Linked DNA regions of Canis lupus familiaris. The protein of the gene in region 4 purifies or fractionates together with the protein of the main gene of each other region. This does not show direct contact. Links are inferred from orthologs where the notes say so. Each region holds a gene or a part of one and is shown on either strand. Other genes may lie near its edges. The genes, in order: DBN1, LIMA1, MYO1B, DDX39B, SRRT, RBM8A and WTAP.

The links.
Region 1: the proteins of DDX39B (region 4) and DBN1 purify together in Homo sapiens (affinity purification with mass spectrometry, with the first as the bait; 3 studies listed by BioGRID). This does not show direct contact. The link is inferred for Canis lupus familiaris from reciprocal best matches to the Homo sapiens genes DDX39B and DBN1.
Region 2: the proteins of DDX39B (region 4) and LIMA1 purify together in Homo sapiens (affinity purification with mass spectrometry, with the first as the bait; 3 studies listed by BioGRID). This does not show direct contact. The link is inferred for Canis lupus familiaris from reciprocal best matches to the Homo sapiens genes DDX39B and LIMA1.
Region 3: the proteins of DDX39B (region 4) and MYO1B purify together in Homo sapiens (affinity purification with mass spectrometry, with the first as the bait; 3 studies listed by BioGRID). This does not show direct contact. The link is inferred for Canis lupus familiaris from reciprocal best matches to the Homo sapiens genes DDX39B and MYO1B.
Region 5: the proteins of DDX39B (region 4) and SRRT purify together in Homo sapiens (affinity purification with mass spectrometry; 3 studies listed by BioGRID and IntAct, with this or other methods). This does not show direct contact. The link is inferred for Canis lupus familiaris from reciprocal best matches to the Homo sapiens genes DDX39B and SRRT.
Region 6: the proteins of DDX39B (region 4) and RBM8A purify together in Homo sapiens (co-immunoprecipitation; 4 studies listed by BioGRID and IntAct, with this or other methods). This does not show direct contact. The link is inferred for Canis lupus familiaris from reciprocal best matches to the Homo sapiens genes DDX39B and RBM8A.
Region 7: the proteins of DDX39B (region 4) and WTAP purify together in Homo sapiens (affinity purification with mass spectrometry; 3 studies listed by BioGRID and IntAct, with this or other methods). This does not show direct contact. The link is inferred for Canis lupus familiaris from reciprocal best matches to the Homo sapiens genes DDX39B and WTAP.

The regions. Positions count from the first base shown.
Region 1 is NC_049225.1:36,784,407-36,788,682, forward strand, and holds the start of DBN1 (drebrin), read left to right. Parts: upstream 1-1,443; 5' UTR 1,444-1,571; coding exon 1,572-1,657; intron 1,658-2,371; exon of another isoform or gene 2,372-2,461; intron 2,462-4,276. UniProt on the Homo sapiens protein: Actin cytoskeleton-organizing protein that plays a role in the formation of cell projections. Required for actin polymerization at immunological synapses (IS) and for the recruitment of the chemokine receptor CXCR4 to IS.
Region 2 is NC_049248.1:42,123,946-42,127,650, reverse strand, and holds part of LIMA1 (LIM domain and actin-binding protein 1), read left to right. Parts: intron 1-1,794; coding exon 1,795-2,259; intron 2,260-3,705. UniProt on the Homo sapiens protein: Actin-binding protein involved in actin cytoskeleton regulation and dynamics. Increases the number and size of actin stress fibers and inhibits membrane ruffling. Inhibits actin filament depolymerization.
Region 3 is NC_049258.1:1,781,494-1,785,198, forward strand, and holds part of MYO1B (unconventional myosin-Ib), read left to right. Parts: coding exon 1-190; intron 191-1,553; coding exon 1,554-1,780; intron 1,781-3,705. UniProt on the Homo sapiens protein: Motor protein that may participate in process critical to neuronal development and function such as cell migration, neurite outgrowth and vesicular transport.
Region 4 is NC_049233.1:1,171,556-1,175,260, forward strand, and holds part of DDX39B (spliceosome RNA helicase DDX39B), read right to left. Parts: intron 1,527-3,705; coding exon 1,395-1,526; intron 630-1,394; coding exon 520-629; intron 421-519; coding exon 276-420; intron 139-275; coding exon 1-138. UniProt on the Homo sapiens protein: Involved in nuclear export of spliced and unspliced mRNA. Component of the TREX complex which is thought to couple mRNA transcription, processing and nuclear export, and specifically associates with spliced mRNA and not with unspliced pre-mRNA.
Region 5 is NC_049227.1:8,831,661-8,835,365, reverse strand, and holds part of SRRT (serrate RNA effector molecule homolog), read left to right. Parts: intron 1-959; coding exon 960-1,129; intron 1,130-1,261; coding exon 1,262-1,446; intron 1,447-1,631; coding exon 1,632-1,730; intron 1,731-1,814; coding exon 1,815-1,932; intron 1,933-2,116; coding exon 2,117-2,274; intron 2,275-2,956; coding exon 2,957-3,018; intron 3,019-3,120; coding exon 3,121-3,199; intron 3,200-3,456; coding exon 3,457-3,645; intron 3,646-3,705. UniProt on the Homo sapiens protein: Acts as a mediator between the cap-binding complex (CBC) and the primary microRNAs (miRNAs) processing machinery during cell proliferation.
Region 6 is NC_049238.1:59,380,374-59,384,542, reverse strand, and holds the start of RBM8A (RNA-binding protein 8A), read left to right. Parts: upstream 1-1,356; 5' UTR 1,357-1,418; coding exon 1,419-1,485; intron 1,486-1,760; coding exon 1,761-1,820; intron 1,821-1,943; coding exon 1,944-2,021; intron 2,022-2,162; coding exon 2,163-2,299; intron 2,300-2,640; coding exon 2,641-2,777; intron 2,778-2,876; coding exon 2,877-2,922; 3' UTR 2,923-4,169.
Region 7 is NC_049222.1:49,497,169-49,500,873, reverse strand, and holds part of WTAP (pre-mRNA-splicing regulator WTAP), read right to left. Parts: intron 2,431-3,705; exon of another isoform or gene 2,314-2,430; intron 378-2,313; coding exon 199-377; coding exon of another isoform or gene 195-198; exon of another isoform or gene 1-194. UniProt on the Homo sapiens protein: Associated component of the WMM complex, a complex that mediates N6-methyladenosine (m6A) methylation of RNAs, a modification that plays a role in the efficiency of mRNA splicing and RNA processing.

The DNA.
Region 1 (4,276 bases), on a different chromosome or scaffold from region 4:
AGTGGCAGCTGTGGAGAAATCACCAGGGTCAGGGGTCCATGGCATAGTAGGTGCAGAGTACCCGAGGGAGGTGTCTGTGAAATTTAAGGGGTTTGAAGAGGTTATTCCTACTTGAAAGCACTGGGACTCACTGCTAATCAATGCACACTGCTCTCCTTCTCCTCTTGGTGTAACTGATTACCCATCTCAGAACTCAGAGGCCCAACTGGGGGCCACCTCCTTTTCCATCTCCCAGACTGGACCAAGTAAAGCTTGCTTGATTCTGTCACCTCCCCCAAGAAGATGGGGGTGGGAGGCTGTGTAGGAGGTGGAAAAGGCTTCTTCAAGCTGGGGAGAGTTTCAGGGTCCCACCTCAGCAAGGAGTGGCGATGTTCCATGAGGCCCTGGCAGTGGTGCCCACTCCCTTGTAGGGGACTTCTGTACTTGGAACCCTGCCCTGGGAGTCTGGGGTTAGATGCTGCTTCTGGAACTGTACTTGGGATTCCTCTGTGAGGCCTGAGGCTTGGGAGAGAAGGCAAAGGAATTGGAGGCTGGACCCATCAGAGACAGCCCTTGGGGGCAGCCAGGAACTGAGAGAGTGCTCTGGAGAGAGGTGGGTCAGGGATGGGAAAGAAGTTGGGAATCCTGGAGTACTGAGCTAAGTTGGGGCTGAGCACAATCAAGGAGGCAGGGATGGAGGGGTGTGGTTGGGAACTGGGATCCCAACGGGAATAAGGTAGGCTGGACTGACGAGGGTGCTGCTAGCGAAGGTGGTTATTGTGAATGTGTGGAGGTGCGCACTGAGGGCGTGGTTGGGAAGTAGGCTGGGAAAGAAATGGGTTGGATGTGGGGTAGGGACACAGATGGCAGTGAATAGTGATGGGGGTGGCCTAGGAGTGGACCTTTCAGAGGTGGGTATGGGCTGCATACGGGCCAAGGTGGCTGGTCCAGTTGGGCTGGGGTTGAGGGTTGGAATGGAGATGGGTTTAACCTGGTTTGGGATGGCAGGGGGATGGGGCTAAGGCTGGGACGGAGAGAAATTAAGCACGGGGTAGAGCTGTGCCAACCGGAGCGAAGAGGATTTGGGCCTGGGACTAGGAGCTGGAAAGGAGAGGGGGGAAGCCGGGCCTGGGTGGTGGCCGCAGACGGGAACCCCGCGAGGTGGTGCCGCTGCTGGGTATGGGGCTGGGGGAAAGGGTGAGCGCCCACGCTGCGGACACCGTGCGCGAGGCTGGGGACGCGGGCGAGACGCGGCCGGGGTGCGGGAGCGCAGAGCGCGGGCGGGCGCGGGGCGCGGGGCGCGGGGCGCGGGGCTGGGGGCGCCCGGGGCAGGCCGGGAAGGGGGGCGGCCTCCCCCTGGGCCCGCCGGGCGGCGCTAGGACCGGGCGCGCGGAGGGAGCGAGCCGGGCGGAGCCTGCGCCCCCCGCCCCCCGCCGGCCGCTCCCCTCCCCCGGCCGCGGCTCGCTGGGCTCGCGGCGCTGCAGAGGCTTCGCGGCGGCGGCGGCGGCGGCTCCCTCTTTCCTCGCCTCCTGCTCTGGCCGTCGGTCCGTGCTCCGCGCGTCCGTCCGCTCGGCCTCAGTCCGGCCAGCAGCATGGCCGGCGTCAGCTTCAGCGGCCACCGCCTGGAGCTGCTGGCGGCGTACGAGGAGGTGATCCGGGAGGAGAGCGCGGCCGACTGGTGAGCCCCCGCCCCGCCCCCGCCCGCGGCCCCTTTGTCCCCGCCGCCGCCGCCGCCGCCTTTGTTTCCGCCCGGCTCCGCCGCCCCGCAGCCGCGAGGGGAGGGGGCCCCGCAATGGTGCAGCGGCCCGGGGGGCTCGGGAGGGGCTGCCTCGGCGCGCGCCGGGGGAGGGGCCGGGCCGGGCGGGCGCTGCCGGCCCCGGGCGCCCGCAGGCGGCCCCGGCCTCGCGCCGCGGCGGTGGCCGGACGCTCCGGGGAGGCGCGGGGTCCAGATGCGGGGCCCGGGGCCGCTCGCCCTGCGGGAGCCCATCCCCCGCCCTCGCCCTGCCGCCCCGGGCCCCGGGGACAGGTGTGCACGGGGCGGCCAAGGGCACCTTCGCCACCTTCGGGCGGGAGCGGGCCGGGCGGGGACGAGGCGGGGAACCAGCCAGCGGAGCCAGCGCAGCCCGCCCGGCCCGGCCCGGCCCGGCCGCAGCACAAAGGAGAGCTAGGGCGGGGGAGGGGCGGGGCGGGCCGGGGCCGGGGCCGGGGCCGGGGCCGGGGCGCCCCGCCCACCGGGGGCCTCTGGGAGCCGGGGTGCGAGGGGGCCGTGTTCCTCGCCACCTAGCCGCCGCCGAGCGACTCCTGTTCCCCTCAGGGGTCGCGGAGAAGGCCGAGCTGAGACCTCCTCTCCCCGATCCGGAGGGGACTGCGGGGACTAGGCAGTGGGGCCGGGAGCTGCCTGGCCAGGTGGCCAGCTGGGGTCCCTGAGAGGAGGCTCCCAGGCACACAAGTGTGGAGGGAGCGCCCAAACAGGAAGGAGAGAGTGAGTACATCCATTGAGCCCCGAAGCCTCAGGCTCAGTGGTCAGCTTCCTCGTGGCAGATAAGCTGAGCTACCTTCTCTCCCTTTCCTGGCTGTTGTCTTGCCCTGAGCTTGAGACGGGATGGACCACCTGCTCTCTCTGGCTGGAGACCCCTGGGTGGCAGGAAAGCAAAGGGGTCCCACACTGCCCCATTCAGGAATCCCCTTCCTCCAAAATACTCTCTCCTGGGACAGGTGCCCATTCTGTTCTCTAGGCCTGGTCTTTTCCTAGCAGGAAGGAAACTGAGGCACAGAGTGAGGCTAGGTCTGAGGGCCCTCACGTGGGCTGGCCTCACCCTCATCCTAGGAGGGCAGTTAGGTAGGGACACTGACCCGGGGGCTGGAGGAGGGGCAAGATGGCCAGGCGTCCATGCCATGGTACTGCAGCACTGGCGGGCAGCCAGGCCTGGAGGGATGGATGAGGGAGAAAGCCCTCAAGTCCTGCAGGTCAGTCACAGGAGAGGCCAGCACAGGCTGAGCCGGCAGGAGGCCCACCCATTGTCCCAGCCCTGCCCCATGGGGGCTGAGATCATGGGAGGAGTTCAGGGCAAGTGGCCCGCTTGGCCTGGTGGAGGAACTAGGCTTAGGATATGGGCCTTGCCTGCAGAGGCACAGCCCTGCCTTAGAACACCCTACTCGTCCTCTGGTCTGCTGGTTATTATATACCACCACCCCGTTTCCCTCTAACCTCCCAAAAGCAAGGTTCTGGCAGTCCAGCACAGGGGTACACAACCGCTGCTGGACCACATTCTGTTTAGCAGAGGCCTGGGCTCCCACCACTCAGCAGCATCCATGTGGCCAAAGCAAGTTATTCATCATTGGCATGCGTCACCCCCATCTGGGTTGTGTGTGGGACACACATGTACACATGCACCCTCGTACATACAGACATTTGCTAACTCCCAAGGGCCTAGATAGCGTTTTGTAAAGAGGATGTGAAGAACACATCCTGCAGAGTAGGGCATGAGTGCCCCCAGTCCCAGTACAGAACCAGGAGTATAGTGGAGTCTCAGGACTTGGGGGCAGACCCTGTACTCAGAGGCCAGAGGAGTGGATCTTGGGTACAATTGCTGTCTTGGTCAAGAGGCATGGTACTGCCTTCACTTACCTCTGAGGGGGATATTGCTCCTATGTGGCAGAGCCTTTGAAACGGACTGTTGCCCTGGATAGGACACTACTCACTGTGTTAACTACACACAAGTGTCTGCTCCTCTCTGGTCCTCTTGAAAAGAGAAGGAGGGGATGGGACTCCACCATATCTGGGACCCCCAAGGCACCTTCCAGCTCCAGCATCCTGAGAGTGGAATTGGACTGAGGGCTCCTCCATCTGCCTTTGGTCCCCACCTCAACCGAACATGGGATCTCCCTGGAGTGGCACATCCCAGGCCCACCTCACCCTAGTCCAGTGTCTCTGGCCTCGGTGGCTTCTCAGAGTTTGTGTCAATATCACAGATACCTACTGGTTCTGCCCTGTGCTGGACCCGGGACCCAGTGAGTGATGCATGTTGATTGAATTGGATGTCTCCGTTTCACACAGCTTACAGTTAGAGGCGTTGTCTGTTTCCAGGGGTTGAAGCTGAAGAGACATGTAGATCCCTGGGACCCCATCCTGATACCTGTGGTTTCAACAGCTTCCACCCTTTCAGGCCTGGCTGTCTCTGATGTGTTTGAGAAGTACAGGTCTAATGAGATCTAGGATAGGCTTAGAGGCTTCTTGCCATCCCTTATGGGGTATGGTAAGTGCTCTAAGGAGGTGCAACTTAGGACAGGGCTTCCT
Region 2 (3,705 bases), on a different chromosome or scaffold from region 4:
ATGAAGATGACATATAGTTTTTTTATTCATTTGTATTACATAATGAATACACATTTATTATAAAAAGAAAAGAAATACAGATGCCCATAATCCATGATCCAGAGGTAACCTATTAACATCCTGATGTCTTTTCTTCCAGAGTACTTTTCTACGTTTATATTTATAAATATGCAGTTGTATTATAAAATGGGATTATGTGATCTTAAAGTTTGCTTTCTCCACTCAAAAGTATCTTACAAGCATTTTTCCATGTCAATAAATATACTTGGATCACATGATATACATGTTATCACATGATAACAGAGAAAAGTAGCGTCCAGTAGCGTCCAGTTACCAAGGCAAAATGCCACTTAGGGCTCCTATGTAGGCAGGGCTAGCGCAGGGCAGGTGAAGTTGGAGACCCAGATGATTCATCCACTGTGTGGCAGGAGGTAGCATCCAGCAAACATGCTGCCAGTGATAAGGCAACACCAGTGTCCAGAGCAGTTTGCTTTTCTAACAAGAAAACTTTTTTGTGCTTCTTGTATCTCTGATCCTTCTATGCTTACACCAATGAGTTATCTTTTCAGTAAAGATTTAAACGCTAAAATTAAGCGGTAGTTCTCTGTACGTTTTTTCCAACGTTGGTGCTATTTGATGAAGTAGCTCATACAGTGTATTCAGGAGAGTAATAGAGTGAGAGACTTAATTCCCAATATAGCTGCTAATCCCGTTTAATTCCCGGAAGTCTTTCAGTCCTAGGTGGTTTGTCCTTTCTTTCTTAGTTGAAAGACGTGAGTCACAGACCACAGGAACGGAGGGTACGAAGGTATTGGAGTTCGTGGTTTGTTGGGAGGTGGTGCTGCTCAGTTTATTTATAGGAATGCTTTCAGAGTATGGGACACTGAATTTAGTTCATCAAGCATGTTTCCTCTGTTATTGTGGCAGTTTCCAGGTTGTTTGCAATCTTATATGTATAAATTAATTCCATTTTGACCCAGGTGAAAGTGAACTCCCTTAGATGTGTCAATGTGTGTCCTTCAGTCAAGAAGGTGGGTGATGGTGTTTTCATATGAAGCCTGGATATTTTTCTACCAGAGGATCTGTGAAATAGCAAATTTTCTGATAACTGAGAATTTATACATGGATAAACGTGTAGAGAAGAGCAGGGGAAAAGAGGATTAGATTCTTATGTAAAAATAAAAGTTGACTGACTTTTCATATGCATGTAGATTATGTCAGATATGATGAAATATCATTGATGCAAATACACGTAAAAATCTGGTGAGTTCTTTAAAGTTCTACAAATAGTTTCAATCTTTGATGATACTGCCCACAAGTAGGGTATTGCATAGTTTCAGCTATACTTCATCTTTGTCATATGTAAAAGAAAAAAAAAAAACAGGATTCGCCATATAATTTTGTGATTTGTGTTAATGCACATTTGCAGTGTTTCAAGTACCTAATATTTTGCTTTCTCTTTCTTGTTTTCCTTATTAATCTTTGGATTAAAAAAAATCCCTTGTCTCCCATGTAACTATCATTAGATCTGGGCTCTCCTTTCTTCTCATTTTGTCCTTATAAGGCTATCCTGTTTTATCACTTCCTGCTTCAGCTCCTGACTTTTTCTCTCTTCCCCTCTCCCTCTCCCGGGGTGGATGCTTTCTCCATGTGGCAGGGCTGTAACCATTCACAGCTGTCTGAAACGCCAGTGGACCAGGAGCAGCTTAGAGTTTTAACTTTCATTTTGCAAAGAACATGTTTGAATGTTTCAACAGGCAAGTTATAACTGGCACTTACCTCTTGTTCTTCTAGAACACTGAAAATCTCCCCCAGCACTGCAGGAGGGGGATCCTGACGGTGTTAAAGAAGAAGTGGGAGAACCCAGCACTGGGAACAGAGCCTCACCCAGACTCCCTGCGAAACGGCAGCACTGAGGTCAGACCCGGAGGCGACCATCCTCCGGGTGAAGTGGCAAGAAGCTCTGCCTCTGAGGCCGAAGCTGACCAGGAAGAAAGAGCCCACCCCAGACCTAGGCACGGATCACCTCCTGAAGCCCTAATTCAGTGTCCGTATCCCCGCACTGAGGGCAGTGAGCATCTTAAAGACCCCTCGAAAGAAAGTAAAAAAATGGAAACGTGTGTAGGAGAACCCAGGCATGAAGTAGGAAAACCTGAAATCAGTGAAAACACAGAAGGCGCAAACAAAATAGAGAAATACAATGTTCCGCTGAACAGGCTTAAGATGATGTTTGAGAAAGGTGAACCGACTCAAACCAAGGTAAGGACTGGGCCGGTTTCAAACCTTGAGAAAGCCAATTCAAGTAACGAAACAAAGCTCTTTTTCTAATCTAGACAGTTTGAGTGGTGGTCAGTATGTCTTTTGATTCAAACTTCAAGGAATTAACTAACAGTCTCGAGTTATTTACATGGAGGCTAAGATCTGCGGGTCTCTGACCCAGTTTCCCGTGAAATCAAGCACATACTGGGATTCAGGTTAGTATCTAGAAATGAAGGCAGTTTGGTGCCGATTGGATTTTGTGTTTTTGTACGCTTGCCCTTTTAATTTATCTTCCTGTGCCTTTTGTCATTTGTAGCTTTGGGGGTGGAATTACTGCTGAATCTTTCTCTGCTTGGACACAGCTGCAGGCTGAGTGTTAAGGCCAGAGTTTAACATTAAGACTGAGGCTTACTTGTCTCTATGCTAGCTGACTCCTTCTCTTCTCAACTTCCTCATCTGTGCCTTCCAACAAATGTTTTCTATCAGCTAAAATCCTCTCCCAGGCAAAATCAATGAGGATAGCCAGACTAGCTGTAGCCTTCAGGAGTTTTGACTTGCAAATGCACAGGGTTGCATTTTCCTACAACTGCTAATGAAATTTGATCCTTCGTGTGGATTGCAGACCGGGTACCCAGAGGGAATTACTTAACTAGAAAATGAGTTACATATGCTGGTGACTTATAACACAGTCCAGGGATGGCTGAACTGGTAAATTTTTCCAGTTTTCTCATACTTTCCTGCATATCTGGCTTTGTACATGGGGATGGTTTGTTATAACAGTCATTATAATGAAATAAACAGATCTGACAGGAAGCAAAGCCATCATTTTCTCTCGATTCCATCTAGATGGGAAAGCTGAAATTTTTTAAGCTAAATATTTGGCCCAAATCCCTACATGTGTGAAGTAATGGTATAAGACCTTCTTTCTGAGACAAAAATTCGATAACTCGTCTTATAATCATCGGTTAAGTCTGACGTGATTTAGTTAATCTCCTCCCATCACTTGCGGTGCCTATTGCTTTCCTGCCTAGAAAAAAGTTCTTGGGTGTTTAAAGGATCATCTATTTCGAGGATGTAGTAAGAATTTTTAAAGGTCTGCAAGCCTAGAACTCTTTCCTGTGCCTGAGTTTTAGCTCTATTTTAACACTGAAACCAGTTGGCAAGAGATGTAACCACAAAGCAGTTTTATGACTTTTCTTAAACTCTCATCCCTCTCAATTTTTAGCCCTCTGGGCCTGCCAATTCCTTTCTCCTTTAGAGTCTTAATAAAACAAAAAAATTTTTTAGTTTTCTTTTTCTTTTTTCTTTTTTTTTTTTTAATTTAAATAGGAAGAATTTTAAGTGGAAGGGGGAAAATGTCAGAAATCCTAAATAGAGAGGAAGGGGTTTTGTTGTGACTCAAAGCACCATTGTAAGCCTCCTCCTCAGAGACCCTGTTAGGGGCAG
Region 3 (3,705 bases), on a different chromosome or scaffold from region 4:
AATCCTGGCCATGCTGGATGAGGAGTGCCTGAGACCTGGCACGGTCACCGACGAGACCTTCTTGGAGAAGCTCAACCAAGTGTGCGCCACCCACCAGCACTTCGAAAGCAGGATGAGCAAGAGCTCCAGGTTTCTCAACGACACGTCCCTGCCTCACAGCTGCTTCAGAATTCAGCACTATGCTGGCAAGGTATGGGGAGGAGGCTCCAGCACCCAGTGGGCCTGCAGTTGTTCCCGCGAGGAGCCCAGGCCTCAGAGGGGGCCTTCTGACCAGCGCCAGCTTGGGAAGATGAGTTGCCAAACTCGTAGAATCAGTAAATGTTCAATAGAAGTAGAATCTGGATCATGGGATGCCTGGGGGGCTCAGTGGTTGAGCGCCTGCCTTCGTCCCAGGGCGTGACCCCGGGGTCCCGGGATTGAGTCCCGCATCGGGCTCCCTGCTTGGAGCCTGCTTCTCCCCCTGCCTGTGTCTCTGCTTCTCTCTCTCTGTGTGTCTCTCATGAATAAATAAATAAAATCTTAAAAAAAAAAATCTGGATCATGTCAGTTGAACACAATCTTAACAGAGCTGAAAGGAAAGCCAGTGAACTTAATGAAAGAGCTCGAGTATATTTTAAAAATCGGTTGTATTGTTTCCAAGCTAGAAGTTATCCTATAAAAATAGATCTGTCAACATGAATAAAAGGTTTGCTAGTAAAAATTAGGTGTCACTAAAGACTGATAGTGAGGTCTGACAACCAGAGATCATTTAGCAAAAATAATGAATTCCTAGATTGAGATTTTGAAACAACAGTGGGAAAATAGCTACTTTTTTGAAAAAAAGTGCTTACTCCTTTACCTAATATTTGAGAGAATTAGTTTTATGCCATCTAAGATATATAATGTTAAAAACCAATTTTGACAGTAGCTTAATTTTTAGAGTCCTGAAAGAATATGGATGTTAATACCTCCTTCTACATGAGGTTGCAGGCTTCAAAGAGGAAAACATTTGTAATTATATATTTAGTAAAAATTAAGTATGTAGTATCCGATTTACTGTTAATTTTAAAAAGTTGGAACTTGGTACTTCATTTTTTGTTTGTTAGCTTGTGTTATTAAAAGATACTTTTCTGGTTAATTTCCCTGCACACTTAGGCTGTCTGAAAACACCAGGGTTTTTATCTCTGTTTTCTCCTGTCTATTTTCAAACAGACTAGAATTGGCACATGTGAACTAAAAAAAAAAAAAGAGGAGGAGGAAAAGTAAAACCTCAAAAATGTGCTCAAACACCAAAAAAGCCTAAAATCCTTTGAAAATGTTATGATAGCATTTTTGGAGTTTATTCTTGCAAATCCTGAAGCGTAATAGAATTTATTTTGAACTCTTCTGTGATTTAGACAGATGGAATTTAAACTTGGAGGCTAATTCGGTATTAGGAGTGTGACTAATGTGCCTGAGGGTTTTCGATGGAGAAAGAAGAGGCTGCATTATAGATAGTCTTGGAATATTTTTAACAGTTGTGTGACATCCTGGAGTGCAGTAATCAGCAGTTGAATTTCTTGTACTGCTCATAGGTGCTGTACCAGGTAGAAGGATTTGTTGACAAGAACAATGATCTTCTCTACCGAGACCTGTCCCAAGCCATGTGGAAGGCCAGCCACACCCTCATCAAGTCTTTGTTCCCTGAAGGGAACCCAGCCAAGATCAACCTGAAAAGGCCTCCTACAGCAGGCTCACAGTTCAAGGCGTCTGTGGCCACACTGATGAAAAACCTCCAGACCAAGAATCCGAACTACATTAGGTATCTCTGCACATGAAACTCTTTGACAGGTTCCTTAGGAAGGCACTTTCAAGGAAGATCATTTTCCTGTTTGCTTAAATCCGAATACCATCCCCCCAGAGGATAACTGAAGTTCTTGCCCTTCAAGTAATGTGGTATCTTGGGTTTGCTTAAAAATCACTCCAGTAACCCTTCTACTCCTTCAAGCAAAGACTTAAAAAGTGTGGGGTGGGGGGGGGGGGCAGAAAAAGCGTGGTAGGGGATAGGAATAGATACTTAATGAAATTGCATTGTTGGCACATAAGGTTTTTCACTTTTCACTTTTTATATCTTTTTTTGGTTTCATGACATTTTAGAAATGTAAGCTTTTTTTCTGGTAAAGGTTTTGCTTAAAACTCTTGTATTGGATTCACTTTGGATTCTTGTTACATTAACTTACAGCACAGCATTAAAGCAAGTTGGGCTTTAGTTACAAATTTGGTGTTCGAAAGTATGTCTTTCTTTCCTATGAGACTTATAGATTTGGAGATTTTGTTCCCAGAACAATCCTAAATTTTTCAAAGCAACAGAAAGAATTCCTTAAGGAGCATCTGGTCTTTTTCTTTTTCCTGTTTCCAGGACACCTTAGATCTCAAGATTCAGTGAAGGCCAATTAGGATTAGAGTTTTCAATGTGTGTATTCGGTGAGTTAGATAATGGGAGATGTGTGCCTAACAGGTCAGTTTTCGTGTAGCGTACACACGCCCACACATCCCTTCCCATAACTGTTTTTAAAAATGCAGTTGTGAGGAACCTGGAGTGAAGAACATTTTTGTGTTGGTTTGTATACCTAATATTTATATTAATAATAAGTAGAGTCAGAATCCCCTGGTTTGACATAATCAGGTTGAAACATATTGTAGGTAAAGATCCTAATTTCAAAAAACAGGAAACTTTCTGTGTCAGTTGCTTTTGTTATTCTCAACTAAGTGGATTTTTAAAAATTATTATTTAATAATAATTTACATGAAGTGATATACACAGATCCTAGGTGAATAGCTCAGTTATTTTTTTCACCATTGTATATACTTTGTCAACCACCACCTTGGTCAACATATGGAACATTCTATCACCCCAGAATGTTCCTTCATCCCCCTTTTATTTTTTTTATTTTTTATTTTTTGCCCCTTTTTTCCCCTTTCCCTTTTAGTGGCCTTAATGTACCTCTAAGAAGTCTTAATAAACTATAAGCTTGTGAATATATTATATTTTTTTCTAGAGTCTTTTATGTAGTTTCAGATTTCATATTAAGGTCAATATAGCTACCGTGTTGCTCTAGCACCATATATTGAAAAGAAAAAAATTACTTGATGCCTTTATTGAAAAATCAATCGAAAACCTATATAAGAGTCTAGGTCTAAACTCACTATTCTGTTCCACTGATCTGGTTGTCTATTTTTAAGCCAAAGGGTGGACATTATTTTTATAAATGTATAAGGAGAAGCATAAAAATATCAAAGTCAAACTAGGTAAGATTTAGTTGTTCACATATTATATAATGTGTGCAGAATTTATTTCGCATGTGTAGGTAGGCAGATACAACCATAAATGCTGAATAGTGTATTAAGATACGGAGATCACGTCCTTAAGATCCAGACATGACAATGACTTAAACAAGACTGTTATTTATTTCTTAGGTAACCACTGAGTATAAGGGCTTCAGGGCTGATCCAACATCTTCTATTTTGTGGCTCTGTGGTTCCCAGGGTGTTTCCCTCCTCCGTATTGTCAAAGATGGCTTCTCAGCCAGCCGTTAGCAGGAGAAGAACAAGGGGCGTGCAAGTCCTTTCCTTTTAGGGACACACTCATTAGTGTCCTATATTAGTTCTCCTGTGATCCTAGTGGCCAGACTTTTGATCACATGGCCACACCTACTTGCCAAGGAGGCTGTGAAATGTAGTCTTTCT
Region 4 (3,705 bases):
AATGTCTATCTCATCTGGCAGCTCACTAATATTGACTTCAAAGCGATCCTGCACATCATTGAGGATCTTGGCATCATTTTCATCTGATACAAATGTGATGGCCAAGCCCTTGGTGCCAAACCGGCCTGCTCGGGCCACCTGGAAGGAGACAGAGGATAGTCCTGGGAGATCCCGAAGTAGGAAGACATCCAAAAAGAAGGGAGAGGCTATCAGGTATGAAGATACAAAATCAGGGGGAGGGGACACTGGAATGCACGTGTGGGTGTGGAGCTTACCCGATGCAGGTAAGTGTCAGAATCCTCAGGCATGTCATAGTTGAAGGCAATGTTCACCCGCTCAATGTCCATGCCTCGGCCAAATAGGTTGGTAGCCACAAGAATTCGTCGTTGAAAATCTTTAAACTGCTGATACCGAGAAAGCCTTCGTGAGAAAGGAAATTAGAAAAATACTGAGTCCCTTCGCTTCAACGGTCTCTTTTCCTTCCCAAGGACACAAAACATCTTTCCATTTCTGACTTACCTCTCCTCCTGGGGCATCCCTCGGTGGATGGCAATGGCTGGGAAGTTCTGCTCTACCAGCAGCTGGGCGAGGGCAATGCAACGCTGCACAGACTTCACAAAGATCACCACCTGGGTGTGTGACAGTTGGGGGACATGGGTCCATGTGGGATAAGTGAGAGATTAAGTGTGAGAAGAGTTTTCAGTAACTACTCTTTTACTCTTCCTGAAACTTCTCCAATCCCCATTACATATTCCTCTTCTGTTCTAAATACAACTTAGCCTTTCTCACTCAGTTCTGATTTTTCCTGAGCAGACATGCTGAAGAGAAGATACAGAGAAAAGTAACTAAAACTACCAGATATGTTAGGGAGACAAGGATGAAGCTAATGGTAAAAATGAAAGTGGTAAAAATTTAAAGTGTGGAAAAAAAAAATTTAAAGTGTGGAGAGTAGTTTCTGCTCATCAAAAACATCAAACATATGCAATTTACCTTAATTTTAGAAAGTTTTTGGTGCAAACGAACCACAGCAGGTAAAGTATGGAACATTTCTTCTCAGTAAACAGTACAAGAAAAAACAAATTTTAAAAACCCAAGAAACCCAAGATATTTTGGAACTTTTACAAGTTTATGAAATCCTCTCAAGGATTTTGAGATTTTTCTTTACTCAATACCTGGCTGTGACAGCCAAAGAACAGAACAGCAGCTCCCATCTTGTTCACACTCAGCACCAAAGGCACTTAAATTCTCATTTAAAAGAATTTCATTTGAAGGTAATTTCCCCACTGTTCTCGCTCACATCACCTATGTCATATCCTCAACAAAAAGGTACTTAACCAGGTTTCTGCTACAGTTGGAGACGTGCTCATCCCCCTACTGGACTTTGAACAACTGACCTGATTGAACTCAAGGACATCGAGAAGGTCAAAGAGCTTCCGGTTCTTCTCGTTGTCCTTCAGTTTCACGTAGTACTGCTGCAACCCATGCAGCGTCAGCTTCGTCTCATCATCCACGAAGATCTCCATTGGCTGGGGGAGGGAGGGGGGAGTAGGGGGGGAACGGGAGGAGGGCAGAGTGGGGGGGTTAAACCTGGGGGGGTGGAGGAACTTGATCTCCAAAACACCCCATTGGGGGATGGGAAAAGAGAAGACTGAAAACCCCACCACACCCCCAAAAATATCCTCATTTTAATGTGGTCTCTTCCACGTTAGCTCTAATTTCCTTCCTAGCAGTTGTTTTAAGATTGCCCAAGTATCACGGGAAGGTAACCTGGCAAGGAGTTTGAAAAGGAGCAGTGAGACCACCCAATGGCAAGATGCCATGACCTCAAAAGGAGGTAGCAGAGGAAAGAAAACAATGGGAGAGGATCCCCAAAGGGAAAATGTAATCCAAACACCTGGGAATTGGTGGACATGGTGACTCGAGGTCAGGAATTCCACCACTATTGGTTGTAAAAATAGAGGGGAAGACAGGGATTGCTTCATTTGAGTATTCTCCCAACTAAGAGAATCAGGGGGCACCTGGGTGGCTCAATCGGTTAGGCGTCTGCCTTCGGCTCAGGTCATAATCTCAGGGTCCTAGGATCAAGCTCCGAGTCAGGCTCCCTCCTCAGTGGGGATCTGCTTCTCCCTCTCCCTCTGCTCCTCCACCTGCTTGTGCTTGCTCTCTCTCAAATCAATACATAAAATATTAAGGAAAAAACCAAACAACTAAGAGAATCAGATCCACATCAGGAGGGTGGATTATCTGTCAAGATCAGAATGCTAAAATGAACATAGTCAAAAATACCATGAAAAGTTACTCAGGATGAGTAATAACTCGCCCTCAGACCACAAGGGAATAGTTCAGATGGCACTGGTCTCTGAACTAGGAGTCAAATCAACTAGTGTTACATGGACAGTACCAATAAATGGTGTTAAGAAACAAATTCAGAGCAGCAGATATACAACCATCTTGTAATATATATATGTATATATATATATATATACACACACATATATATGTATATATGTATATACACACACATACACACACGCACGCACACATAAAACCCTTTAAGGGGAGGAAGATAGCAAAAAAAAAACAAACTGACACAAGACTCAACTCCTGAGTCCAAGTTTCCTAGCACTCTTCACTAACCTGGGGACATAATTAACATGAACACCCAGGGCCCAAGGTTTCAGGAAAGGATGAGTGGCACGGGAGAGAACCAGAAGCCCAATCCCAGAAAGCAGGCTTGCAAAAGCAGGCTTTTCAAAATGAAGCTTCATGGCCTCCTTCAAATCTAGCCCCAAGTATAACTAAAGGTAACTGACATCCCACGGGAAGGAGCAGTACAGGATAAGAAAGAATACACTGCACTGTTTATACAATAGGGCCCGTCTAGTGCCAAACCCTAACACCCACCTGGTTACATCCAAGTGGAGCTCCTCACATTACTTTTCCCATATCCCTCTCCTTGGAGTATTAAAAAATTGTTTTAAAAAAGAAAAAAAACTACCCCCCGTTTCAGGACACCCCTCCCCCCAACACATATGGGGAAAAACAGGGAGCACGGCACGCCTTGGATTCAGGAAAAAAACCGGGAACAGAAAAAGAGGCTGGTTTGGTCCTCAGCTTCCTGGTCAGGTTTCCCCGCGGCCTCCGCTGCCGCCATCCACCGCTGGGTGCCGTCTGCATTTCCCCCGCCGTTCCATGGTGCTTCTCCGCTGCCGGCTCACATCAGCCGAGATTCCGGATGGGTGCGAGGAGGTATGGACGGAAGGAGTAAGGGATCGGGGACTGAGGTGCCAAAGGCCCCCACCCCTGGAGGTGGGGAGGGAGCGGATTCATTTGTGCTGTTTGCTCTTCTTTTGGACATGCCCTGCCATCTGTCTGTCCCTCTCTTGCTCTCCTGCCACCGGGGGGTTGAGTTTTGGGGAGCAGAAGGCTCCAACTGTCTGCTCCATGCCACCTTGAGGGTGCGTGGCTGTAAAGGGGTATGTAGGAGACGATGGGTGGGTAGTAGGGCAGAAAATCCTGCCCTCCCCCAAAAAGGAAGAAGAGGTTCAAAAATGCTGTGATGAAAAAAAAAAAAAAAAAAAGGTCGAACACTACCCGCTCTCAAGTTAACCCGACCAAGTCTTCCGGAGTTTCCCTGGCACCCGCGCAGACCCTAACACTAGCTGTCTCTGCCTCTGTGTGTCTCTTCAAGGAGTCATCACTCCC
Region 5 (3,705 bases), on a different chromosome or scaffold from region 4:
TGTCACTGTCCTCTCTTTCTTCTTTCTCTGTGTCTTGGTCTCGTTCTCTCATGTACCTTTCATTCTTTCTTGGTCCCTGTACTTGCTCTTTGCCTAACACTTGTTTCCTCCTTTTTTTTTTTTTTTTTCCCCCATTTTCTTTGGCCTTTAGTTTTTCCCTTTGTTTTCAATTTCTGGGACTTTGTCACACTTTCCCTTTCTGTTTTTCTCATACTCTTCATTTTTTTTGTTTTTACCCCCTCAAGGTCCTATTTTAAATGTTTCCTTTCCATGCTCCACCCTAATCCTGCACCTCTTTTCTCTCTCTCTCTCTCTCTCTCCCTCTCTCTCTCTTTCTCTCTCTCTCTCCCTGTGGGCAGTACCTGAGGTTATAAGGGCACTTCAGTTTCTCCCTTTGATCTTTCCCTGTCCCTTCACCATCTGCTTTTCTTCCCAAGGGGGGAGAAAACTTCTGCCTTTTTTGGCTTTTCCTATCAGTGCATTTCAGGTTTCCCTCTGTCTTCCACCTAGGGATGGAGGGAGTTGGTGGGAGCAGTCCTGTTAATGACTAGCTCTTGGGTTGGCAAGGAGAGGGAGGTTCTCTGGGATCTACTATTTCCTTAGCCTTCCTCTTGGAAGCTTTGGGAAACTACAGTTTTTTAAGTTAGTGTTTCCCAGAGACACAGGGCAATCATTCTGCCTCTCTAACCCTGGCCTTCCCCTTTAGTCATGGCTTTTCCCAAATCCAGAGCTCTTAGTTCCTGGCTCTCCCACAAATCTTCTCAGAGCATAACCTCTGGTTCCTTTTGGGGGTATTGGGTGGTTCTAGTGTACCCTTCTCCCCAGTCTTTCTGCTTTCATGGTTTTTTGTGGGTGTGAGAGGATGGGGGCTAAGCCCTGACTTGCCTGGGCCCCTCCCCATGTCCTGGCCCTGGCATCCAGTGACTATTTTGTCTCTTCCCTCCCCACTTCCTTCCCAGGTTTCGGTCTAAGTACCACCCAGATGAGGTGGGGAAGCGTCGGCAGGAGGCCCGGGGGGCCCTGCAAAACCGACTGAGGGTATTCCTGTCCCTTATGGAGAGTGGCTGGTTTGATAATCTTCTCCTGGACATAGACAAAGCTGATGCCATCGTCAAGATGCTGGATGCAGGTATGTGGATTTGGGAGGGGAAGAGGGTGTCTGGTGACCCAAGATCTTGGTTTGGAAATAGAAGTCAGTTGATAAGCAAGAGGCTGAAGGCCAGGACCCTAGGATTGTGACCTCTGCTCCCTTTGTTGGTAGCTGTGATTAAGATGGAAGGAGGGACAGAGAATGATCTGCGCATCCTGGAGCAGGAGGAGGAGGAGGAGCAGGCAGGAAAGCCTGGAGAGCCCAGTAAGAAAGAGGAAGGCCGGGCTGGACCAGGCCTGGGGGATGGAGAGCGCAAGGCCAATGATAAGGATGACAAGAAAGAAGACGGCAAACAGGTCAGAGTGCTGGGCTCATTGGGTGCTGCCTCTGAGTTCCTAGGGAGGAGGAAGGTGCAACTTCAGTGGTCAGGGGGCCTGGTGGGTTGTGTGCTGGGTCCAGGAGAGGTGGAGGGCTAGGGAGGGGGCCCTCTGATAAAGGTTGAAGGGGAGATGGACATCCCCGGGATTGTCTGTACCTGCAGGCTGAAAATGACAGTTCTAATGATGACAAAACTAAGAAATCTGAGGGTGATGGGGACAAGGAAGAGAAGAAAGATGACTCTGAGAAAGATGCCAAAAAGGTAGGGTATCTCTTGCCAGGCGGTCATTGTCAGATCTGGGGTCCTGGTTATCTGACTCCCCTCCTCTTGCTGTGGCTCTCACAGACTAGCAAGAAGCGGAACAGGAAGCACAGTGGTGATGACAGCTTTGATGAAGGCAGCGTGTCAGAGTCCGAGTCAGAGTCAGAGAGTGGCCAAGCTGAGGAAGAGAAGGAGGAGTCTGGTAGGTTTTATCTTCTTTTAGTTCATTCTCTTCCTATTGAATAGGGGTAGGGGAGGTGGGAGTGGGCAAAATTGATAAGGGCCGGCCTTTGGGACATGGGGGTGGGGGGGGAGTTGCACCACTTCTTTCTTTCCCTCCAAAATCAACAATAAATATTCACCAACTTCCAACACTTCCTGCATAGAAGAGGCACTAAAAGAAAAGGAGAAGCCCAAAGAAGAAGACAGAGAGAAGCCTAAGGACACTCCTGGGTTGGAATGTAAACCTCGGCCCCTCCATAAGACTTGCTCCCTCTTTATGCGCAACATCGCACCCAACATCTCTCGAGCCGAGATCATTTCTGTGAGTGGGAAAAAGTGGTACTGGCTGCAGGAATGGCATATTTGGTAGCAGGGAAGGGGAGCTGGTGAGGCGGGGGTAAGATAATATGGTTCTGCTTCTAACATATACCCATTTCTCTAACAGGGAAGCCTCTTCTCGTGGGCCCTTTGTGGGCTGGCCCTCGATTATACCATTTGCTTCTAAGTGCTTTTACTCTTTAAAAATTTATTCATGAGAGACAGGCAGAAGATAGAGGGAGAAGCAGGCTTCCTGCAGGGAGCCAGATGTGGGACTTGATCCCAGAACCCCGGGATCACACCCTGAGCTGAAGGCAGATGCCCAACTGCAGAGTCACACAGGCGTCCCTTAAGTGCTTTTATGATTATTATTTTTTTAAAGATTTTATTTATTCATGAGAAAGAGAGAGAGGCAGAGACACAGGCAGAGCGAGAAGCAGGCTCCCCACAAGGAGGCAAATATGGGACTCAGTCCCGGATCCTGGGATCACACGCTGAGCCAAAGGCAGGTGCTCAACTGCTGAGCCACCCAGGCATCCCAAGTGCTTTTATTATTAAGCCCTTTATTGGTTTTTCCTTACTTGAAAGATTCACAGGCATTTCTCAGGGTTCTTAGGACACAGGGATTGGAAGAAGTGAGAAACGCTGAATTACTCATTGGGGTTTCTGTTCCTCTGTTTTTCCAGCTTTGTAAAAGATACCCAGGCTTCATGCGTGTGGCACTGTCAGAGCCCCAGCCTGAGAGGAGGTGAGGAATGGAGATGAGAGTGACCCTGTATACCTTGGAAATAGGTACAGGGGGAGGCTAATGGCCAGTATCCCAGGGTTATGCTGACCGTTTCTTCTGTAGGTTTTTCCGCCGTGGCTGGGTCACCTTTGACCGCAGTGTTAACATCAAAGAGATCTGTTGGAACTTGCAGAATATCCGAGTAAGTGCTGGGACTGGGTTCTCTGTAATGTACGTCACCCGATTCTTATTTGATTCATTTGTTGTGCTCCCACCCATCTGTTCAGTCTGCTCACATTAACTGTGTACTGGTGTCTGGCCTAGGTGCTGTCCCTGATAAGACCCTCCTGGTCCATGTTCTTGGGGAGCTCATGTTCTAGTCACTGGTCTTGTCACTAGGGCTAGTCCCTTGAGCTGCTGCTTCTCGGGCACATTTGGTGAGCTCTGTGTTCTCTCTAGCTCCGGGAGTGTGAGCTGAGCCCTGGTGTGAACAGAGACCTGACCCGTCGAGTCCGCAACATCAATGGCATCACCCAGCACAAGCAGATAGTGCGCAACGACATCAAACTGGCCGCCAAGCTGATCCACACGCTGGATGACAGGACCCAGCTCTGGGCCTCTGAGCCTGGGACACCTCCTCTGCCAACAGTCAGTGACTCCCATGGAACTTTTTAAAAAGCAGCCAATACCATATCGTCTATGATAGGC
Region 6 (4,169 bases), on a different chromosome or scaffold from region 4:
TCAGTACAACTGCTTTACCTGGAAACTACACAGCCTTAAAGGCCCAGTTCAAATGGAAGCCTTCTTGCTCCCAGTCCTATTATAAACTTCCTAAGCACTTAGTGATAGCAATTGTCACTATCATAATGTAATTATATAAAGTAATTGTTGATAATGTAATTATTTTTCCTCTACTGCCAGCACCTTCTCTAATACTAGGTACACACATTATAACTGTTCGATTAAAAAATAATATGAAGGGGATCCCTGGGTGGCGCAGCGGTTTGGCGCCTGCCTTTGGCCCAGGGCGCGATCCTGGAGACCCGGGATCGAGTCCCACGTCGGGCTCCCAGTGCATGGAGCCTGCTTCTCCCTCTGCCTGTGTCTCTGTCTCTCTCTCTCTGTGTGACTATCATAAATAATTAAAAATAAATAAAAAATTTAAAAAAATAATATGAAAACCTGCAGTCCACTATTGCTGAAGGCCTACATCAGGATTCCGAACTTTGCGGGCAATATGGGTCTTGAAACACGAAATACCTACACCATTCCCAAAGAAGCCGGAGTCCCCATTTTGTTGAAAGTCCCCATTTTGTTGAAAGCCATTAATTTTTTTTTTTCTTTTAAATTCCTGGAGGTGGTGGGAAGAGTTTGAGAGTTTATCTTTAAAAAAAAAGCGGGGGGGGGGAGGGGTAGGATCCCTGGGTGGCTCAGCGATTTGGCGCCTGCCTTTGGTCCTGGGATCGAGACTCGCGTCGGGCTCCAGGCACGGAGCCTGCTTCTCCCTCCTCCTGTGTCTCTGCCCCTCTCTCTATGTCTATCATAAAATAAATAAATAAATCTTAAAAAAAAAAAAAAGGCAGCCGATAGCCGTCTCAGCAATCCTAATTCACAAGATTAGCTTCCTTAAGAGAAATTCGCCGCTGCAGTACGAGCCAGACTCGGCTTTTTGAGCTAGCATTGCTGAATGAACTATTTTAAAAATGTTTCCATCACAGACCCAGCTAGCTGCTCCTCAAAACAGGTTACGGGTCTAGAAGTTTTGAGAGAGAAAAAAAATTCAACTTCCATTTCCTATGGAGTCCAAGGAGACAGAAAACAATCCTCTAATAGAGAAACTGGGCTGTGCTTCGCTGACTACAGTATTTCTCCTTGGTTGCCCTAATTAATAGGAAGCCGCTGCCTGCACCTACCCACTAGCTTGTCCCTTAGAGCACCACTCCATTCAGCTCGCCACCTGCTCAAGATGGCTACAGGAGCACTTCCGACATCTTCCGGAACTAGGCCCGCCTTCTTTTGCGTATTTTCACCGCGCCGGGGGCGGGACTTAGATTTAGCTTCTGATTGGTCAGCTTGACTAGTGACCTTTCCCCTCCGCGACAGTTTCCCGAGGTGCCTAGTGCCTGAGCGGCACCGACGAGAGTAAGAAGGCAGGCAAGATGGCGGACGTGCTGGACCTTCATGAGGCTGGGGGCGAGGATTTTGCCATGGATGAAGATGGGGACGGTGAGGACAGTGGAGGCAGCTGCGGGAAGCCGGGAAGGTGCGAAAGAAGGGAGTAATAGGAAAATAATTGCCCTTCCCGGCAGGGCGGCTGGGAGTAGAACTGAGTTTCGATTGGATTAGAGACTGCGCCCCCTTCGGGAGGAATGGGGGCGGGACCGGGAGGGAAATGGGACTGGAGGTGGTGGGGCTGCTTTCAGATAATGCCTCCGTAAAGAGACTATTGTTGTAAATACCTGTTATTTTTGTTATTCATTCTTTCACTTCTGGGGATCCAGAGAGCATCCACAAATTGAAAGAAAAGGCAAAGAAACGGAAGGGCCGCGGCTTTGGCTCCGGTGAGTGTTTGTGGGGAAAATGGTGTAGAATGGCGACAGCTACGAGTTTTGGAGTCCCCATTCACACTCATGGGGAACAGTGGTAGAAGAGATTTCTGGTGATCTCTTGTATGTTCCATATAGAAGAAGGGTCTCGAGCGCGGATGCGTGAGGATTATGACAGTGTGGAGCAGGATGGAGATGAACCCGGACCGCAACGCTGTAAGTGAGATGGACACTAGTGTATTATGGACCTATGAAATAAAACCCAGTAGGAGTGGGGTCGGAGATACCTTAATCCACTCTTGTGATCTTGCTTGAAGTTTTTCTTTTGTGCACAAACCTCCTTCCCTTCCCCAACAGCTGTTGAAGGCTGGATTCTCTTTGTCACTGGAGTCCATGAGGAAGCCACCGAAGAAGACATCCATGACAAATTTGCAGAATATGGGGAGATAAAAAATATCCACCTCAACCTGGACAGGCGTACAGGATACTTGAAGGTATCCTACTGTTGTTGCCTCTCTTCCCTCACAACCTTTAGACAGCTTTGGTAGTTCTCCCATGTTTTCTCTGATTGGCCAAAGAGCAAAGTTGAAATAAATGAGATTGAAAATTGATTTTGAAAAAAAAAAAAAAAAAAAAAAAGAAAATTGATTTTGTCAGACACAGCAAAGAGATGGAAACATATTTTGAATATATACACAGTAAGGATATATGATGTACATCTGTTGTATAAAGTCTATAGATATTTCTATTTGAGTATGAGTTTAGATCTGAGGAAGAAGATGCTCAGTAGTGTTTGGAATATGAGGGTTTTGATCTGTCTTTTCACTTATCCCAGGGATATACTTTAGTTGAGTATGAAACATACAAGGAAGCCCAGGCTGCTATGGAGGGACTCAATGGCCAGGATTTGATGGGACAGCCGATCAGTGTGGACTGGTGTTTTGTTCGGGGTCCGCCAAAGGGCAAGAGGAGGTAAAGTGGAGAGGGCAAACTATCTTGGTGAAGGGAACATGAGCAGAACAGAATAAGGACATTGTATTATGTTCCTGATGGACCCTTCCTTTTCCCTAGAGGTGGCCGAAGACGCAGCAGGAGTCCAGACAGGAGGCGGCGCTGACAGGTCCTCTGTTGTCCAGATGTTCTCTCCAGAGATTCTCTTTGACCATGCAGCCTTGGAGAAATAGGGCTGAGGTGGAACTCACTGTTTATATTTAATCTCTTATCCTACTTAGTGGGGTTTTTTTTTTTGAATTATGAATAAATGTCCCATTTTTTGTTTTGTACATTTAAAATTACTTTCCTTTTCTAACATTGCAAGCTCTGAAGCATTATTTACAGTAAGGTAGTATGGGTCACTATGAGGATACTTCTAAGGACTCAATTCTGTGTGAATTTCTACATTAGATATCTCAAGTCTCAGAGTCAAAGTATTTCTTTTTCTTAGAAGCTAAGAGAGCAGGGGTAGAAGTGAGGTGTTATAAAAGCTTAGTTACTTTGTTCCTGTATACTCTGTCTGAGCAAATGGATGTTATAGGAATGTCTCTTGTTTCTCCTGTCCTTTCTGTTGCCACATTTGTTTGTACTTCCAGCTGTCTAAGGGTTTGCATTTCCTGTCAGGGCATTCTCTCAGAATCTTTTTTCCTTAGAAGAGTCTATACTGAGTTCTTGGTGCCTTCTTTGACAGCCAAGGGTAAAGGCCCCATAGAAGAGAGGATACAGAGGAGCATTGAGAAGGCCGAAAAGGAAAAGGATGTGGCTGAGGCTGAGGCTGGGGGGGGACTTCATTTAGCATGGTGGGAGAGAACCAGTACCACAGGCCCAGTAGGTAATAAGGTGTCCGGCAGAAGACGAAGGTCAGCAAGACCAGCAGGGCCAGTCGCAGGGCCTGCAGACGTACACAGGAGCGGTTGTCTAAGGAGCGGCGGAGGGCAAATTCACTGGCAGGGGCTGGGATTTTAGAAAACATACTCAAATTCAGAATCACTCAGTTTCTGAATTGAGTGTAGGGTGAACAGATGAATAGGCAGAGATGATGAGCTGGAGCTCTCCTGATACAGGGAAGAGGATATGACAAATAGGTGGTAATGCTGCAAATCCTCTTCTTCCCCAACTGGGAATATATGCTCTCCCCCCCGCCTCAGGGATTATGACAGACATGCTGGAGAAGAGGTTTTGATTGAGGTGTGGTGTTCTATGAAGCTACTAAGTCTACTTGAAGACTTGATGGTGTCTAAGACTAAAGCAGAATACTAATCACCTTTCTCCTTAATCCTTGCCCAGCTAACTCAGCTTCAGAGGGTGGCTAGAGGCTGGTTAGAATTGAAGGCATTTAGAAAATACTGGCAGCATCAGGTACTGGGGTAT
Region 7 (3,705 bases), on a different chromosome or scaffold from region 4:
GAAAAAAAAGCTGAAACACAAGGTTCATCTGGTAAGTTTTACATTAACCATTACAAGCTGGATAGTATAAGAATGTGGCTTTTTTTGGCTCAAAAAGTCTGAGTCTTGGTGTGGAAACGAGTACTTGGCTGTCCCACCACAGCTTTCTCGTAGTGGGACTGTCAGGGAAGTCTTGACTGGGGAGTATGATTTGTTTACCTATCAGGCGTAAACTTCCAGGCACTCAGTTCATTTTGGGCTTGTTCCAGTTTGTCTTTAGTCTGTTCCAGTTCACCTTTCATTTTTAGGAAAAACAAGTTGATCGCTGGGTCTACCATTGTTGATCTCAGTTGGGCAACGCTAGGCTGCTGGACTTGCTTGAGGTACTGGATTTGAGTCTGTACAAAGCAAAACAAACAATTACTACCAAATCGAAGAAAACAGTCATAGGAATATGGGATAAAGTCCCTTTTGTTCATAGAATTTATCAACTTGTCCTTCCCCCTTTGACCTTAACATCCTCTAGAAAAAGTACAAATTATAAACAACTATTTAAGGTAATCCATGTAGGAATTAAAGCTTTGATTGCATTTCCATATCTGGAATCCTTAAAAAGGCTACATCCTACTTTGCAACCAAAATGATACTTAAAAAAAAAAAAAAAATCAGTGCTATATTTACTAAGAATTTTGACACCCACTAGAAAAAAGCCATGTGTCAAATATTACATAAGAGTATAGTGAGGGGAACCTGGGTGGCGCAGTTGGTTAAGCATCTGACTCTTGGTTTCGGCTAAGAATGATCTCAGGGTCATAAAATGAGCCCACGGGAAGTTTCTCTCTTCCTCTGCCCCACCCCACTGTGTACTCACGCTCTCTCAAATAAATAAATCTTTTTTTTCAAATAAATAAATCTTAAAAAAAAAAAGTACAGTGGTTCACACTTTCCAATTTGTATCTATGGAAATTATTCTCTATATAAGTCTACTAAAAATAAACCAAGTACAAGATTATAACTTAAATTACTTATCTGTATTTCCAAATTTAAAAATATATAGTGCTTATATTTACATGAGTTGGCATTACAGCTTCATAAATAGCACCTTAAGCCAAAAAATATATTTCTACCTTGAGTAGATTTGAATGACAAAATTGTATAGGTAGAAGGTGACTGACCACATCCAAACTCCTTATTTTTGAAATTAAATAAGCTAACTATCCAAAGATACAGTTGGCTCACTGCCAAAACTGACACTAGAATCTAGCTCTTAATAAGCCTCCTGACTCCCAGTCTAGGGCTTTTTCCACCACACCAGAACCCCTCTACTTACATATGAAACCTTCAATTTCGACTTCAGTTGTACTATTTACTAGCACACTAAAAATACATTTCTAAAATATGAAATACAGTTTATTAGAATTAAATGCATTACTTTCTTCACACCCAAAGTAGATTTGATTCAAAATCCTGCTGCACACTACAGCTTAAATAGGACTAAAGTTAACAACCAACTGCTCATTTGTATCATAAATTTAGTAAAAAATGTAAATATCTGGATTGACAATACATTTACTATTTCACCGAGCAAACAGAAGTAATTTATTTAGTTTAAGGAGATTTTTTAAAGTAATTCATTTTAAACAAAAAAGTATAACTGTTTATTCAATATAAGACCAGTTGCTAGAATAACTGAACAAGGATAAAGCATGTCATATAGTATATACCACATCCTGTGATCCCTAAAGAAAACATGCCTTTCCAACAGCGACATAGTTACTATTTAGGTTTACAAAGTAAACTGCTCTCATCTGCACATATAATCTTGCACTTTCTTTGTATTGTTGCTCTTGCTGCACTTTCTGCAAAACCTTACTCTGTAACTGAAAATGAGTTGTTCAGCTGACCTATGCAGGGGAAAGCTGCAAAAAAAGAAAAAAAAAAAAAAGAAAAAGAAAAAGACTGGAGGGGTGCCTGGGTGGCTCAGTTGGTTAAGCATCTGCCTTCGGTTCAGGTCATGATCCTAGGGTCCTGGGATGGAGCCCAGGGTCAGGCTCCTTGGTCAGCAGAGAAGTCTGCTTCTCTTTCTCCCTCTGTGTATGCTCTTTCTCTATCAAATAAATAAAATCTTTGAAAAAAAAATATGACTGGAAGTGGCTAGGTTTTAGTTGAAACAGCCTTTGAAACCTGGGACACAAAGACAAAAGGGTGATAAAGCATCACACCAAAGTCTCTGATCAGGCATGATATGGATCAAAACTACCAGTGTATATATAAAATAGAAATGAGTCAACAGTATATATATATTGTCCAGGTAAGTGTAAAAAGTACAATTATGTGTTATATGAAAGGAGCGCTCCCCTCATCAAGGATGGAAGAGGCCCTCAAGTCCTGATGACAGACATACGGTTATGGCACTGCCACCTACCGCATGGCTTCTAAGCACTGTTTAAAAAAAAAAAAAAAAGTACATGAAATAGGATAGCAATGGCAATGGTAGGACGCACGAAGAAAAAATTCAAGACATAATGGTATAGTAAGATATTACTGTTGGCACCGTCCATTCACACTCTACTAACAGCACTTTGAAGATAAGAGTCATCCTTTGCATGTGACAAACATCTTACAGAGTGCCATTTAAGTACAAACCTAAAACTAGGTACAATCTAGAATCCTTAATATCAGAAAAAGGAAAAAAGAATTAAAGAGTTTTGAGAATGGGTACTTTAGAGACATAGTGCCCACTCCATTAAATATGAAAATCTAAGGAGAAAAATTTTCTGAAGGGATGGGGTGGGTGTTATAATTAAAAGAAAATTATATTCAAACTACTGGAAAGACTTCTTGGAACCATGTGTCCAAATAAAATAACCAAAGGCTGGGGTGGTCAAGAGTTGAAATTACAGAAAGAGAAGGTGTGGGATTATTAAGAAAAGAAATTTTAAGAAATAACAGTACTGTGATTGAGCCTTAAAAATGTTTTGGTGAGAAAACAATTAGGAATAGGACTGCACCCGATAGAAGAGTCTCCAATGACCAGAATATTGCCTTCTACATTAGATTTAATAAACAATGTTATCAAATCAATGGAGATTACACAAAAGAATTCAAGAAGATTTCAGATTTTCAGGGCATCTGGCTGGCTCAATGAGAAGAGCAAGCAATTCAATATCAGGGTTGTTAGGGATCCCTGGGTGGCTCAGCGGTTTAGCGCCTGCCTTTGGCCCAGGGCGTGATCCTGGAGCCCCGGGATCGAGTACCATGTCGGGCTCCCTGCATGGAGCCTGTTTCTCCCTCTGCCTGTGTCTCTGACCTCTCTCTGTGTCTCATGAACAAATAAATAAAATCTTTAAGAAAAAAAATATATAGGGATTCCTGGGTGGCTCAGCAGTTTGGCGTCCGCCTTTGGCCCAGGGCATGATCCTGGAGTCCCAGGATCAAGTCCCACATCGGGCTCTCTGCATGGAGCCTGCTTCTCCCTCTGCCTGTGTCTCTGCCTCTCTCTGTGTGTGCCTCTCATAAATGGATAAATAAAATCTTAAAAAAAAAAAAATATATATATACACACACACACACACACACACACACACATTGGGATTGTGAATTTGAACCCCATGTTGGATATAGAGATTACTTTATATTTTAAAAAAAAATGTTTAAGTTCAGATTTTTCCAAATTAGAACAACACAAACCGAACTACCTCTACTTCACATAACATATATACAAAA